4 linked regions of the Drosophila melanogaster genome follow. The protein of the gene in region 1 interacts with the protein of each later gene in a pairwise test. Each region holds a gene or a part of one and is shown on either strand. Other genes may lie near its edges. The genes, in order: GABA-B-R1, CG42494, Ote and Obp18a.

Region 1 (4,740 bases):
TTTCATGGAAATCCATAACAAGCCACAATCTTTTCAATTAACATTATCACACTATTTCATGTTGATTGCTGATTGCAGCTGTGCCTGCAAATGTTTTAAATCGCCCATTCAATAATAACTTTCATTTTATTGAATAGTTTTAGGAGATTACCATAACATAAAATAAACGTTCTATTCAAAGCAAATTCGCTAAATATTTCACTGAAAACATTTATAATTTTATGTAATTAAAACGTGAATTTAGAGTGAACTAGAAATCAAAATCAGAGTTCAAAATAATAGCTGGCCTATGCCAAAATAACATTGGAATACAGAAAATTCATAAATAAATCATCAATTTATCAATGCATAACAATTGCGCAATGTTAATTTTCAAACTGCTGTTTACCAATTTGCTCTTGAGTGGATTTGGTTTAATTAGTGCCGTTTCTGCTCTAACTGTCTATGAAATCAATTCAAATATCTAAACAATAAGTGCGTTCTGTAACCTATACGGCAGTGCAAATATAGGCCATAACCCATGCCCTCGTATTCACACATCTGAAAGTTATTTAATCCGCTCAGCAATTTCGATTGCCATTTATTCACTGGCAGAGTTCAAGACAAGTGCATTTCAGCATACCCGAATTCCACATGCGGACATAAATATTTGAGTAATTGATTTCCCAAGTCGACGATGGGAAAACTTCCAATTTCTTGGCTTGACTACTTTTGGGCCAATGCAAATGGTTTATTTTTGACCGCAGAATCCTTCGACTTGAGCGGACAGTTGAGGTTCTCGAACTAATTGCAAAATTGTCAATGATTTATTCAGTTGGCAATTAAGGTGCCAACTAACGGTGTGGCTGGCACGGCTATATCGATTTGAAAATATTCAATAATCCCGGAGCCTTGATAAGCTCATCAAACATGCACATGGCCATCAGCAGGGGGGGGCAAGTTTGTATTTAGAGCCAAGTGTGTTTGGTGAAGGGGGGTTAGCTGTATATTTCAGGGTTTCCCCTTTTTTTGTCGAGCGGTTTGGGGGGGGGTTTTGCGAGGGGACACAAAAGTACAAGTTGCTATGGATCAAGCTCAAGGCGTGGCAGTTGGGCATTAGCTCTATGGTGGAGCACGGCAACCAAGCGAACAAAGGTCAACTCGACAAGTGAGTTAAATGACAAGGACCTCACCTTGCCTTCCTTGGGCTTCGGCTTTGGCTTTGGCCCGTGCGTGTTTGCATGTTTGGCTCGATGAGGCGACGCGACCCCAAAAATGAAACTCAACTTTGGCTTTGACTGCGGCTCGGGATTGTGGCGTGCAAGCATTATGGCCTTTCGCTTTCAAAACAATGCCCCCATCCTGTTTCCCGGTTGGCCTAGTGGCACTTGCTCCTTGTTGTTGGTTTTTCGCATTGCCCTTGGCCAATTGCGAGTGAATTTTGATGTTTTGACTGGCCATTCCTGGGGCCATTTGACAACTCTATAAAACCGGTGTCCTTAAGCCCGCCCTCGTCCTTGCGCCCAACCCCCAATTACCGTCCAACTACCACCCACCTACACCCCGCTACACCCACCCACAAAGTAAACGTAATTGCCCGGAGAGTTTCGCGACTTTCGACTTGGCCAGCAAACTGAAAAAGCGAAACTTCAAAAAACCCGACTTGACTTGGCAACTGGAAAAGTGGAAAAGCGGAAGCACGAGCTTTCCCACCGAAAAGCTCTCGTGCTCTAAGCTTTCGTCCTGGCGAGGCGAAAACGTAAATGTCAGTCATGGAGTTCCAGTCGTCGGATACATGTGGAACACAACGAACACAGCAGGAGCCTCTCGCGTCTCATCCCCCGAATACAATGCGAAAAAGTCTGTACAAAAAATAGACAAATAAGGAGCAGGAGCGAAAACACCACTCTGTGCATAAGATATAACTCCCGCAGAACTGAATACCTGCAAAAAGAAATACGCGTTAAATGGAATTACGGTGCGGGAATTGATAAAGTGAAGTGTGTTACAGCTAGAAAGCAAGTGAAATAAAACGAATACATTAATAATTCATGCCCCTCATAGTCAGAAGCTTACTAGTTTGATAAGGAATTCAACGTAAATCTGATATAGTAATGTAGAAAAGTTGTACAAAGTAATATACATAGCATATAGCATATAGCACAGTTACACAGAACACACCGCAAACTCAAACAAAGTTGACAAAAAAAAAGCTCACGCCCCTCACATCTCAGTTTTTTCTCGAATTATTTGTGAAAGTGCAACAAACATATATAAAAAATAAAAAAGAAAAGGGAGGAGAGAGCACAGCAAAAAAAGGCAGTGACAGCAGGACCTGCAAAGGAATTGCCATCATTTGGGGATTACGGAATTATCGGGATCCGTTCTCATTAAAATGGATTTAAGGCAATGCCGATGTGCTGAGCTGCATTTGTGCATGGGATTATCGATTGTAATGCGCAGTCATCAAATTATGTTTGAACAACGCCGCCGCGACAGCGATAATAGCAACAATAACAACAACAACAACAACCAAATCAACAACAAACACTGATTTGGCCCCTGACCCCCTTTGGCAGCACCCCCTCCATCCAACACCCCCTACGACCCTGCCCAAGCAAAAGGAGCAGCGAAAAAGAAGAAGCGTCTTATGAAACAATTGAAGCACCGGCCAAAGGAGCAAAGGAGCAGACAAAGACAGAGACAAAAACATCGGCAAAGGATAAAACGGAGGCCGAGAAGAAGAGGAAGCAGTAGTAGCAAAGCAGGAAACAACAACAACAACAACCGCAACATCGCATTTTTAAACGGCAATACGCAAAGTAAGTGAAGTGTAAAGTGAGCGAGATGGCAATAGAAAGGTGTAGAGTGCCGCGAAGAGAGGCGGAGAGAATACACTTGCAAAAATGTGAGCAGCTAATTCCCAGGGATGTTAAAAAAAATTAAACCCTCATGGTTCAAAGATTCTAGGAGATGGACAAGTGATGAATGGTCAGTGGAAATATATGTATGTTTTAAGCCAAGTGAAATCAAAATGATTTGAGAAGTACAAATAAAAGAAAGAAAGGAAAGAATGATATATGATATTTATTGGTTGTAGTACAGGAAAATAATAGTTAAAATGATATCCCGGATTGATGGTCATTACAATGATCGTACCACAAAACTCTTTCTAACTCAAATTAAATTGTTAAAATTATTTTTCAATACAAATTTGATATATTTTTGTTTTTTCGCCGACAAGATGCATAGATCTTTCATAGAATCTGAAATCTATATCTTTTTTATATTGCTTTTGAGAAGAGTAAACCGATCATCATCTACGATCACTCCTTTTTGTTCTGTGTAGGTATGAAGAGAGCAGGTGGGAAGGCAGTGAAGTGAAGTGAAGCATTTGTCGCATTTGTGCAGAATTCCCGACGTAATTAATGTTTAAAGTCTGTGTGTGTGTATGTGTGCGAAGGTTTGTAAACTAGGTCACTAGGAAGTTAGCCCCTTGACGACCATCCCCTCTCATCAGCGCCTCTTCAGCGGCAACTCTACGTCAAAGGTGTCAACTCGCCAAATCTGCAACCACACCTTAGTTAAGTGAGCCACCCCGTAGCCACCAAAATTATCCACAGCACCACCACCTTTTATTCGTCCTTAACACACCGCCATGATTAACGCGCCTCAGTGCGATTAACTGGCAAACAAATTTGGAGTGACGCTGCGGCGATGTACATACATACATATATGTATGCATGTTTGTGCTAAACCGACAGCATTTCCATTCAATAACACACGCGGCTCGTATGCAAACACTGTAAAAAGGTTTTATGCTAAAAAAGACGCCGTATTTGTGCATGAAAAACTGTCATTCATCATCCAACCAACACAAATAACCGGTAATGGCATCGCCACATTATGGCTTTGTATTTTTTACATCCTCAAACACAAAAAAACTTTAGTTGATTTCTGACTTGCATCGCATTCATCACCCACTAAAGTCGAGCAATCAATCCTCAAAATACGTATACGCACTGTTAGTTCAGTTGATTAATAGGCTAATTATGAAGGAAACTGAAAGGAAACACTAAATCAATAAATCCTGGCAAATTAGCATCAGTATATATTTGTGTTAGTGCAAACATTTAAGTTTTCTATCAATTTTAAATACAAATATGTTCAGAATTAAGATATATTTCAAAGGGAACTATGCTTTGTTTAATTAAGATTTAAGGTTTTATAACTATAAAAGCCTTCAAAATGTGCCATCTATTTTATATTCACTTACAAGCAGATTTCAATCAAGACCACTCTTTAATATGATATATTATGTCTAGAACAACCGAGAAGGCACTCTTAAATTAAATATTTTAGTACCGTAATAAATTATGAAACGTGCTGACGGTAAAATATATAATACAATTCATACTTTAAGTTATATTTTTTTTTTGCCCTATATGGTTTTACGTATCGGTGTGTATGTGAGTACCTCGCACACGCAGGACATAGAGATAAAAAGGCTTCTCCCACATAAAAGTTCTATTCTGTTTTTTTTTTTTTATAGAAAAATATTGCTGGCAGGAGTTTAGAACATTGCCAAAGGGGATGCGGACAGATGAAGGGGCGGGGGCGTGGCGGGTAAAAGCCATAAAACTCAGGCGCCGAAGCGCAAAATGCCCTTGCCCTGAACAAAAAGAAGAAATTGAACAGCAACAACCAACAACAAAAACAAAGAAGAACAAGAGCAAATAAAATACAAACTGCTTATTTATT
Region 2 (4,384 bases), on another chromosome or scaffold:
GGTTGGTGCCATTGCAGAACATTCATCTGGAACTTCAGACCGGCACATTTTCAAATTGGGATCAAAGTACTGGTTCACTTTGCAGCTCTTAATCAACGACAAAACTGATCCATTGACCACGTAACAATAAACGTAGCTGATAATGTATAATTTAAATATAATATAATTTTGGTTATTGTACGCCATAGACGTGACCTACGTTCTACAAGTTGGATCAGCCTGGTTTTCCATTATGGTGGTGGTTGTAACTTCGCTGCAGGCTTCTTCCGCACTCCAAGTCTTCGAGTTGTGGTCGTCAAACTCTGGAGCTGGCAAAGCCGTGAGGCAATGAGCCAGCAACTAAAATATATATGTACATATATTTCATTAGCACAGGTAAAAGATATTTTTAAAGACCTCACCAGTAAAAACATTATACGCAGCCACATGATTAGCTTAACCGCACTGCCTTTTGCTTTCTGAAGCATAAGAGCTCCGCGTGGCTCTTAAATAGTTACTGTAGTGGCCTGTTCCCCATCCTATCTTGCCAATTTTAGAAAATGGTATCATATGATTGTTTTATACTAATATTTTATTGGTTTCAATAAATCTGATAATGATCGATTACTGCTGTTAAACGGTCTGACTTAGGTGCAATAATCCGGTTTGTTTTCGCTGCACGATTTCAAGGAAGCATCAAAATATTGGTTGGTCTTACAGTTCTTTATCAAAGCTGTTGCCGATCCATTGATAAAATAACAATATAGGTACCTAGAAGAATGGTTTATGTGAGTTGTTCCCTGGAAATTCGTGGTCTACTTACGTGGTGCAGGTGGGGTCGTCTTGGTTTTGAAACAAAGTGGTCTTAGAGACAGTCAGGCAGGTTTTCTCCGCACTCCAGGGTTCCGCTGTGGTGGTACTCGCCGCTGTTGTGGTCACGGTGGTGGTGGTTGGGGTAGTGGTGGCTATAGTGGTTGTCGTCTCCACGCATCCATCCGGCTTTGTGGCGGTACAAACCTTTAAGCTGGTACTGAAATACTGATTAGCCTTGCATGAAGTGACTTTTGTCGAATGCGTTCCGTCGCTATCAACTGTACAGGTTATAAAACTGAAAAATGAACTCTTTAGTCTAGCATCGAAAACAATTTTCAGCAGTAGGGTATTCACGTGGTGCAGGTGGGATCATCTTCGTTTTCGAAAAAGGTGTTTTTAGTGTATTGCTGACAGATATCGTCGGCATTCCACGGAGCTTCTGTAGTCGTGATCTCAGTGGTTGTTGTGGTAATTGGGGTAGCAGTGGTAGTTGGGTTCTTAGTGGTTGTCGTGGTAATGGGGCTAGGAGTGGTTGTACTGGTTGTCTGGATCTCGGTGGTGGAAGTGTCCTCCTCTGTTTTGCAAACCGGATTAGCATTTTGATAGCAAGTGTAAAAGCCATCCGTGCAATAAAAGTCCTTTGGACATGGCAAGAGATCATACGATGGAACTCCTGGAAATTAAAACGTTGTCACACAATCCCCTTGTTTTTAAAGAAAATTTACAGACCGTCATAGCAGATGGAAAAAGTGGTTTCACTGTGACAAGCGACATTGCTATCACTTTGACACACATTGCACGTGGCCGCCAAATATCGAATCGAAAGCTTAAGTTTATTAAAAAGTGATTATTAGCCCGAAGTGCGCACAGTTTGTAGTAGTTACCAGTAGAACAAGCGCCTTTAGCCACATCTTTTTTGTCTCCAGTCGCCTTTCAATCTAAAATACTGGGGACAAACGGATCACCTTATATGTATCTTTGGTTATCTTTAGAGACTTGCCGAAAAAGTGAGATATTTTCTGTATGTTTGCTTAGTTTTATTGCGGTGTTAGGCTTTGCGTCAATAAATAGTACAAGGCTACAAGTAATTTATAAAAATATATTCACAAATTGAAGGCGCGTTCGTTAGCTGATAGCAGAGTACGAGTGTGGTTTACAACATATCTAGGAATACATAGAGTCGAGTCGAGTTAACAAAACACCAAATGAACGGATATAAATACTATTTTTAAATATCTTGTCTTATCTGCGAAAAAGAAAGCCTTTCGCTTAGGACGTACATTGAGGCCGGTACAGCTAATATTTAACATATTTTTTTATAGTTTTGTGTATATAGGGGTGTATACTGGATAGTTATATGTTCGCATAGTTGTCGCGTAGTCTTGTGGAGTTTTTAGATTGCATAAATAGGTACAAACTATAGTATGTACTATGTACTAGTCTAATTGTAAAATATTTCTTAAGGCAAATCATAGCGGTTTAAGCAGCACTTCACACTTACATATGTAACTTGCTTAAGGCAACATCGATGTTCTAATGCGTTTAAAAATAAATTCGTTAATTTCTAAAACGAAATAATACTTCGTCAGCAAATGCATTATGTTCGAGTTCACGTTGTGGACGTATACTGTTCGAATGATCTAGACGCAGCCGTACTCATACCAGATGCTATTGCTCTTGTCTTCGGTCCGCTTCCTTGCCGACTTGTCATCCTGCATGGTCGTTCCCGAGACGCTGCCGCTGGCCTGCAGCAGAGGGCTCTGGTCCCCGCTGTTCGAGGCTCCTCCGATCGTGGTGTTTATTCGGTTGTACATGAGAAACGTAGCTGGGCCCACCGGGGCATTGTTTTCGGTACTCTTCTGAGGCGTCTGAGGTTCTGCGGGTGTAGGAGGTGCGGCGTTGACGGAGCCACTGCCGCCAACAGACTGTGACTGTGTGGCGCCGGGAGTAGAGCCATCGGGAAGCTTTTGGTGCTCATCGATAAGATAAACGGTGCGTCTGGAACCGGCCGTTCCGAGAGTCAGACTGCTGCCCGTCACGTCTGGCGCTTCAAGACTGCTGCGAAGCAAATGATTTATCAGTAACTAGATGAATGCACTTTTTTAAACACAGGTGGGGAGCGACAACGAAGGGAAATACGCATTGTGCAAGGGGAAAGATGGAATAAGGATTAATAGTGGTCAATTGAAGCCTCGAAACAGACTTCGATCTGTTTCAATTGGCAAGTTTTAATGGGGTAGAATGAATGTTAAACATCAAAAGCGCATACCCGTGCACGCTATTTCTACGTGAGTTATTCAAATCCGTACGTTTCTGAGCCTGCAGGCTACTGCGCACGGCACCGCCGCGTTGGATCGAGTTATCCAGCAAATCCCTACTCCGACATAATGTACAGTGTTTGTTTGGTGCGAATGTCGAGTTGTGTATAATACATGTAAAAAGAACAAATACCGTGAACCCAAAAATCTAAAAAAAACATCAATTTCCAACCCAACTGAATGGCTTACCGCTGCAGACTCTGGCGGAGCGGGACATTCCTCTGGAGCAGGTGCGTGTCGGAGGCAATGGACAGTGGCTCCTCATTGCTATTATCCGACTCATTGCCGCCTGACTCGGAACCGATCACGAACTGGGAATTGGTACGGGCGTCATCTACCCAAGATCGACGGTTCTGAAAAAAAAAAAATATTTTTATGTTAAGTTTCTTTACATCTAGTTGTGAGTAAACTTACTCGACTGGGCACCTTGTTCATTAGATCCGAGCTAGCCTTCTTCACTCTTCTAACCAGCATGCTGGCAAATGGTTTTCTGAAATTTACAGTGATTGGCTTAATAACAAATATATTTTTGTATGGTTATATTATTTACTTCTTGTGCACTGTGGTTTCTGACTTCTTGTAATGCTCCATAATTTTCTCCTCCAGTTTTTCCTTCTGCCGCTTGAGGCTGTGCACCCGTTCGGTGTAGTTCTTCTCCTCCTCATGGAAGTGCTTTTTGTCCTCCAGGGATATGGCCAATAGTTCCTGATATTGAGAGAGCAATTGGGACACGTTGTCCATCAGAGCCTTGCGCTCCGAGTCCAGTTCAGCATTGTTTTGTATCAACATCTGTATGCAAAAAGAATATTAATAGAATATTATATCTTGACACTTTTTAACTCACCTCACAACGCTGCTGAACCTTGCTATACTCCATCTGTAGGCAACGGACCTGATCGCTCTTAGCATTTAGCTCGCCGGAGAGTTCTGTGTTTTGTAGCTTAAGGCTGGAGTGCTCCATGCGTACCATCTTGTACTGCTCCTGGATGTTTTTGTATTCGTTCTTGAAGCGATCGCTGGTGGCGAACAGATTGCGGAAGTCGTCTGTCAGTTTGGAGTGCTCCGTACGCAGGATTGACAGATCCTCGCTGCATGTTTTCATGTTGCTGTTCTGAATAGTCAACTCCTCAATGCGTTGCTCCAATGCCGACTGCTGTTCACGGGTATCTCGCAGCTCCTGACGCAAGTCCCGCACTGCAGCCTTTAGCTGCTCCTTGTCCTTGTTCAGAGACTCGTACTCCGCGGAGAGTTGATCATGCAGGCATTGCAACGTA
Region 3 (3,989 bases), on another chromosome or scaffold:
TAGCCGCTTCATAGACTCTACACGCGTGATTTATGGCACTTAATGTTCTGTAGCCTAAGCCCAAAAAAAAAGAAAAACTGAATGAGAAAGCTCCCATCTGGCCCTCAAAAATCCCGCTTCCTATCCCAAATACACATTGATTCTTTAGAATTTATAAATAAAACAAGTATTGATTGTAAATATACCTTAAAGCGAGTCTTTTGTATTGTAAATTAGTTCCACTGATTGATTTGGTGGCCCTGCTTAGGTGCTTTGCCACCAAGTTCGTGTTATAAACATTAATACATAATATTGTAATTTACTATATGTGTTGGCAGCATTTGCTGTTAACCGCAAACGAAATGCAAGCGATTTACCGAATAATAGCAATTTGAATTATGTCTTCATGTGTAGATCGGCGAGTGTTTTCCTTACACTCATTTAGGAGTCGCTAGGTTTTTTGACATTCTTAATGCAATTTGTAATCAAATCGTAGGAGGCATTCGACTCACGGATACAAACACACAACATAACAAAACAATTAAATGGGATTTAACAAATTACCATAATGGCTTATGCAACGGTACAAGCAGAGTTTTATACAAATTATGTATTTTAGAGATGGATAAAGCGCATTGAATTGAATTCGAAACAATGAAATTGTATCTAAGCAAAGAATGTAATCCACAAAATGGCTAACTAAAGCTAAATCAAGCATTCAAATATGGGCGGACGAATATGAACAAAACACATAACTAGCGGCTAAGAAATTTCAACAAAATATAGTACACATATTTAAAGTATACAGAAAATTATAAAAAACAAAAACAGCTTTAGATGTGAATAAAAAATATGTAATTAAATCAAAACAGCACTTCTTTTGTTTGGGTCATATACGGGAACTTCTGATGGATTAATAATAAACGTTAATTTTGTTTAGGAATGAAGTCTTTTTTAATATCATTAGTTGCTAACGAATTAATCTAGTTATGTCTATGCACTGCCTAGGGGTATGATGAAGCTCATATAGTCCGCTGTGGCGCCCCAGGCTGTGCGATTTGTCTGGAATATTATTATCCAGGCAGTTAGTACTATCAGCCAGAATAGAGTCCCCACTGCAGAGTATATAACATCTGGAGGAAGGTAGGAAAGAAATTGTGGAATATTAGACTGTATGGCATGGGCATCTATTCATATATTGACTTACATCTCTTTATTTGGCTCTGCTCCGAAAATGGTGGCTTATGGAAGGCCTCCGTGAAAAACCAGCAAACGTTAATGGCCCACACAAAGGGCAGAAATGCAAAGCCAGCTAAGTTCGAGACAAATAGAAAGTAACTTGGTTAAAATCCAATCATTACTCATTGGTAGTAACTCTTACCAAAGAAGTATTTGCGACACAGCTCCAGTTTTCGCGGATTTGGTGCCTTTGAGATGTCCATGATTAATCCTCTTCAAATATGTGGGTGTTTGCTCCTTTGTTTTCGAATCTGTTTCCGGCCCAGGAAAGTTTTTTCGTACTTATATGTAAATTGTATGTAATATGTAAATTGTAATAGCTTATATTTTCACTTCAATTTTTGCTTTTGTTGATTTGTGTTTTAGTTTTTAGTCCATTGGAGCGCAATCGATATCGATAAGTTATCGAAACAGAGGTGAGCTAAACTGCGACTCTTGGATCACTGTTTCATTTGCCAATATCTAACGTAAATAACGATATAATAATATAGCATAGATGTTTTATTACGTTTGCACGATTTTGCGATGTGTGCGATGATTAGTATGAAACATCATTCCTTGTGTTCCCTTTTTTTAAAACGCCAAAACTGTTACAAGTCAAGCCCACTTCAGTGTTGTATATCCCCTAAAACAGAATCATCGATAGGTAATACTGCTGCCATCACTATTTTAGCACACACCGCGTAAAAGCGACGCCGATTTCAATTTTCAACGAATTATTAAAAGTGTGCGAAAAACCATACAATGGCCGATGTGGACGATTTTGATTCTCTGTCCAATGCTGAGTTGCGCGCCAAGATGCTGGCACAGGGGCTGCCCAACATCCCCGTGACGGATAGCAGCCGGAAGGTTCTAGTAAAGCGTCTGCGCGCCTCCATTGGTGGCCAGGCGTCGCCGGCCGCTAGTCCCAAGAAGACCAACAGGCGGGAGACCCTGGCTCCCGCACCTGGTGCACCATCTGCTCCGGCGGCAGCCTCCACGCCGGTGGACAAGCTGGATGGCAACAAGGTGGCGCCCGCCACAAAGGCTCGGCGCACAATTACCGCTGCAGAGGCCAAGGAACCAGTGCGTCGATTACCCGAGGAAGCTATACGCCGACGCCCCGACGAAGCCGACCGCCTACGATCCGAGGAGCCCGTTGCCGCCAGGAAGCCAACAACTGCTCCTGCTGCTCAACCCGTACAGACCCGGCGCACTTCCACCTCCTCGGGGTCTGAAAGGAAAGTAGTGGAGCCCTTGAGGAAGCCAGAAACCATTGTTGAGCAACCGGCTTCCTCGAAGCGCGCTGATCGAGAGGAGAATTATCTTAAGGTCAACTCCCTGATTGTCCTAGAGTCCGATGAAGAAGAGGACGAGCAGCTAGTCCAGGCTGCAGATCTGGTGGAGCAGGAGCACGCGGCCAGACAGAAGACCACGAAGCTCGCAAGCAGCGGCACCACTACGTACGAGTACAAAAGCAAGGTTGTGGAGCCTCCACGCCGACAGGTCTATGAAGCGACAGCAGCTCCCGTGCTGCCGCCATCTGTGCCATCTGCCAGAGCGCAGACCACCAGTTCCACCAGGTCCTATGACTATGCGAGCAACCCAGCACCCGGTCGCTATAGCAGTTTTGTGCGTACTGCAGCCCAAGGCTATGTGACTGCAGAGGCTCCGCCGGTGGCCTCCTACTCATCCAGCTACAAGCGTACCTATGCTAACGAGCTGAGCGACGACACTGATTCCAAGGAAGACCAGTACGAAAGCACATTTGCCAGGAATCTAGCTCGTTTGCGAGCCGAACGGATTGGAGATCGCATCAGCCCGTATTCCAGACGCACTCTGGCCAGTGGAAACGCGGGTAGCGGTTCTCTCGGCTATGAGCCGCGTGCCAGGCGCTCCTTGCGCCCGAATGATAACAGCGTATCCGAGGCCTTTAACCGTTGGTTGAACAGCCTGGAGCAGAAGTATCACATCAAGTCGAAGCTGTTCATTGTACTCCTCGTCCTTTTGTTAATCGGCGTTTATTACATATTCTACTGACCGGCGCATCATTGTTCTTATTTCGAATTTGTAATCTAGTTTGTATACCATGTTGGATATGTTTTGTAAACAAGACTGCCGCCGCGGTCTTTGTATGAATCTTGTTTTGATGTAACTTGAGCTTGAGTTTGACTAGCATTTAAGCTGCGTGTTATCCGTGTTCAAATAAAGCCCACTTGCAGGGAATCTCCACAGTTGAACACTTGCTCTGATGTTTTTTCTCCAAACGGCTTTCGATTCACTGCGCTCCACTTGTGGCAGGTGTTTGCCCAGATTGGATCAAGAAACAGCAGCAAACGACGATCGGCTAATGATGGAAAAGTATCTGGAATGCGTGTACAACACTTGTCGGCATGACTCTGACCAAATGTAGGCGCAATGGCAACCAGGCAAGCGCAGCTCTTATCTGAGCTAAATTGTTCCTGCTGCGATCTGATCTGCGATCCTTGCAATGCCTTGCAATCAGAATTAATAAGAATTTTACAAGTCGGCTCGGCGGCCGGTGTGCGTTATTTTAAAATCCTTGCCCGAGTTGGGCTGTTTAATTTTATTAACTGGAAATCGCACTTGCGCGTATTTCTTTATTTTCTTAAGGAAATTTCGCGCCATATTTAGCGGTAACAAGCGCGACCGGATCCGGGTCTGACTTGCATGCCAGCAATAAGTTATGAAAATTGCAACATCAGTGGCTCGGGGGAAATGCCAGTTGTGCTGGGGATGTTGCTGCCACGGCTGCCACGGCCGCCACGACC
Region 4 (3,087 bases), on another chromosome or scaffold:
TCGCCGGGGGTGGCACGCTGACACTCCCTCGCTGCTGTCTATTTCTTCGCCGCTGAAGACGTCGATGGTCGCTCACAAGTCCCCAGGCAGTGGGGACTCCAGATTCCTTCGCAGCCAGGGGGGCAGGACTTCTTTGGTTTTGTTAATGCTGGTGCTGGTGCTGGACATGCCTGGTATTTTGGAACTTCATTAATTGTGGGTATATTTTTAATATTATCTGAGTGAGTTTTCTCGAGCTTATGGGTCTTTAATTCTTGCTGATATTGCAACAAGTGGTCTAGCTCTGCATGTAGCTTTAGAGCTTTCGACCAAACCGGTGGCGTTTGCTGACCGTATATTAGCCACCTTACGTGGGCTATACGTTTATTCAGCTTAGTTTTCAAACCGCCACGGTGTTTGCCCATACTCAATAGAACTCTACTCACTCAGATTTTTCCTTGGTTTTTGCAGTTCCATTTAATTAGTCCAGTCTTCTTCCAGTCCAGTGTTCCTTTGTTCCTTTGTTTTCACCAGCTTTGGTCAATTCGTCCAGCGTTGGACGACTGTCACGGTCGCCATGTAATGATGAACTCCAATTCAGAACACAAGTCCGTTTTAAGTTGAAGGCAGCCGTCGGGCTGACATATATTTATTCAATTTCTTCTTTTGATTTTAGAGTAGGCAGAAATGGTTCTGTCAGCTCAACGTCTACAGAGTCTCTCTGATTTTACAGTTTTTAATATATTTGGACTTAGGCTAATCCGCGTAGCTGCGCTGCCGGGTACGCCAGCAGCGGAGCGGCGTTCTTATGTATATCTTATATATCTAGGCTTATCGGGAGAGCGAGATATGTATGTACGTATGTAATATGTATTTGGTCGGCGTGTGAATGCTGACCATGCACTTATACTTTTTGCCTTCGAGTGGGTGATCATGTTACATCCGCCCTGGCCTAACTGCGTGCATAAACATAAACATAAACATAGCAACAAAGTGCTGCCATAAGTTAATATGCTATTTTATTTAATTGTTCTTAATATTGCATAGGCACATACTACAGTTTAACATAAGAATACTTTTTTTTTTTGTTGTCAGCTTTAAATGTACGTGTTTTATTGCTAATTTTAATGTTCTAATTACTTTATTTATTCATTGGAAATGGGAATTCGCATAGACGAGCCCATCACGAAAATACTTACCAAAAAAGACAGTAGACTAAGTTTATACTAAAGATAATTAGGGGAAACCGCAAGAAAACAAAGAAAAAAAAAATGCAAAACGATAAACATTGTGGCGGTACAGTGAGCACTGCCTGCGGCCAACCTAAAAACATGACGAAATATTTTTTTTTTTTTTACATCGTGTATAAGATGTGATATTCGCTGCAAATCGCAAAGCGTGAATATAATTTGTATTTATACCTATATTAATGAACCATATAAAATATACGAATAAAGTCCAATACAGTAGATAGGCTACACATATGTTTTTTGTTTAAACTTCAGAGATGCTTGGAGTGTAAAAGCCAAAAATTGTATGTTTTCTATCTTAATAAATATGAAGAAAACCAAGTTGGTAATTTACTATTGGCAATTGTAATGCAGATATTGCGCATACGACATACGTGTAGCTCATAATCGGGAACTGCGCTTAAAATTTCAATTATAGACTTTATTTGTTGGTGTGTGGCGAATGTAAAGTAGCATCCAATTATTTAATTAAAATCTCCTGTCTACTTTTGAGCTGAATTAGCAAATCGATGGGTTATATATATAGAGCTGTGATGATGCGCTCATTGTTAGTTGGGAAACAGATTTTCGCCATGAAGGTTGTGTGCAGCATAGCTGTACTATGGATTTGCTTGATAACTATGGTCAGTTCTTAACGAAATAGTTATGTGTCCATCTAACAATACCATCTATTCTAGTGGCAATCAGCTGGCCGCGTTAACGCAGAGGGTTGCCTAAAGCACCACAATCTGACCAGTGCCCAAGTGCAGGCAGTGGCTCCATCCACTCCCGTTGCGGATGTTCCAGTGGCCGTTAAGTGCTATAGCCGGTGTCTGATCCAGGATTATTTCGGTGATGATGGGAAAATCGATCTGCAGAAGGTGGGAAAGCGAGGATCTCAAGAGGACCACGTGATTTTGTCCCAGTGTAAGCAGCAGTTCGATGGCGTCACCAATCTGGACACGTGCGACTATCCATACCTGATTCTCCAGTGTTATTTTAAGGGCAAGCAGAGTGGAACTATCGCCTCGTAATTTACCAAATAAACAAAAAATAAAGTATACATATATACATTACTACATACATATATGTACACACACATGACAGACACAATGGGCTTCATCACAGTTCATTGTTGAGTCTTCTAATCAGATCAAACGCCCTCTAATGGAAATTACACACGATTGTGCTTAGTATAAGTGTGATTTTCATTATTATTATTTGTATACAGTGATTAATAATTGTATTAGAGCAAAATAGTAGACATGCATTGTTTTAAACTCGTCTGCTTTTTATTGATTTGTTTTATGCAAAGTAACGTAGAACTGGTGGAAATACATAATGCAATAATAAGTCAATCAGAGTCTTTATTTTCCGAAAATTCGCAAGAAACATGGCCAAATAAATAACAGAAAATTTCAGTTTGCTGACCAAATATGTATGTATGCATGTACATATGTACATATATGGGTGGACTGGGAAGCCAAACACAAAATTTTCCCCCTGCTTGAATAATATTTGAAATGGCAGATATGGAAGATGCAATTTGAACATAATTGAAATGCAAATCGCAGACTGTGAACTGCAGAACCGACTTGATGGGGCGGATGTGTGGACGTAATAATGAATCCCAGTCGACCCCACAGGATGCAGGGCAAATTTCAATTTTCCCAGCAAATCATACGTAAAGTTTGGCCAAATACATTTTGGGCCAAGAGGGCCAAAAAGGGCCAGAAGGATGTCAATGCAATCAGTGAGGCATTTGACTTGGCCTTTCATTAACTCGACTCAGCGCAGTCGAGTGCAAAGGACACAGTACATAGTACACAGGACGAAAGACGCAGGACGCAGGACGCAGGACATGGCACACGAACTCCTT

The links.
Region 2: the proteins of GABA-B-R1 (region 1) and CG42494 interact in a two-hybrid assay, tested with the Drosophila melanogaster proteins (one large-scale study listed by BioGRID).
Region 3: the proteins of GABA-B-R1 (region 1) and Ote interact in a two-hybrid assay, tested with the Drosophila melanogaster proteins (one large-scale study listed by BioGRID).
Region 4: the proteins of GABA-B-R1 (region 1) and Obp18a interact in a two-hybrid assay, tested with the Drosophila melanogaster proteins (one large-scale study listed by BioGRID).

What each region holds. Positions count from the first base shown.
Region 1 is NT_033779.5:15,014,596-15,019,335, forward strand, and holds the start of GABA-B-R1 (metabotropic GABA-B receptor subtype 1), read left to right. Parts: upstream 1-1,735; 5' UTR 1,736-2,801; intron 2,802-4,740.
Region 2 is NT_037436.4:3,182,715-3,187,098, reverse strand, and holds CG42494 (uncharacterized protein), read right to left. Parts: upstream 1,739-4,384; 5' UTR 1,704-1,738; coding exon 1,677-1,703; intron 1,619-1,676; coding exon 1,522-1,618; intron 1,466-1,521; coding exon 1,147-1,465; intron 1,088-1,146; coding exon 803-1,087; intron 751-802; coding exon 627-750; 3' UTR 550-626; downstream 1-549. Other genes in the region: CG32284 (uncharacterized protein), read right to left, coding at 1-136, 200-339, 402-428; girdin, read right to left, coding at 2,433-2,850, 3,062-3,166, 3,300-3,463, 3,525-3,600, 3,661-3,899, 3,955-4,384.
Region 3 is NT_033778.4:18,275,053-18,279,041, reverse strand, and holds Ote (otefin), read left to right. Parts: upstream 1-1,864; 5' UTR 1,865-1,962; coding exon 1,963-3,237; 3' UTR 3,238-3,435; downstream 3,436-3,989. Other genes in the region: pen-2 (presenilin enhancer), read right to left, coding at 973-1,112, 1,187-1,291, 1,361-1,421. UniProt on the Drosophila melanogaster protein: Inner nuclear membrane protein. Involved in the attachment of membrane vesicles to chromatin during nuclear assembly, and is probably required for centrosome maturation and cell cycle progression during mitosis.
Region 4 is NC_004354.4:19,134,558-19,137,644, reverse strand, and holds Obp18a (Odorant-binding protein 18a), read left to right. Parts: upstream 1-1,776; 5' UTR 1,777-1,801; coding exon 1,802-1,852; intron 1,853-1,906; coding exon 1,907-2,242; 3' UTR 2,243-2,564; downstream 2,565-3,087.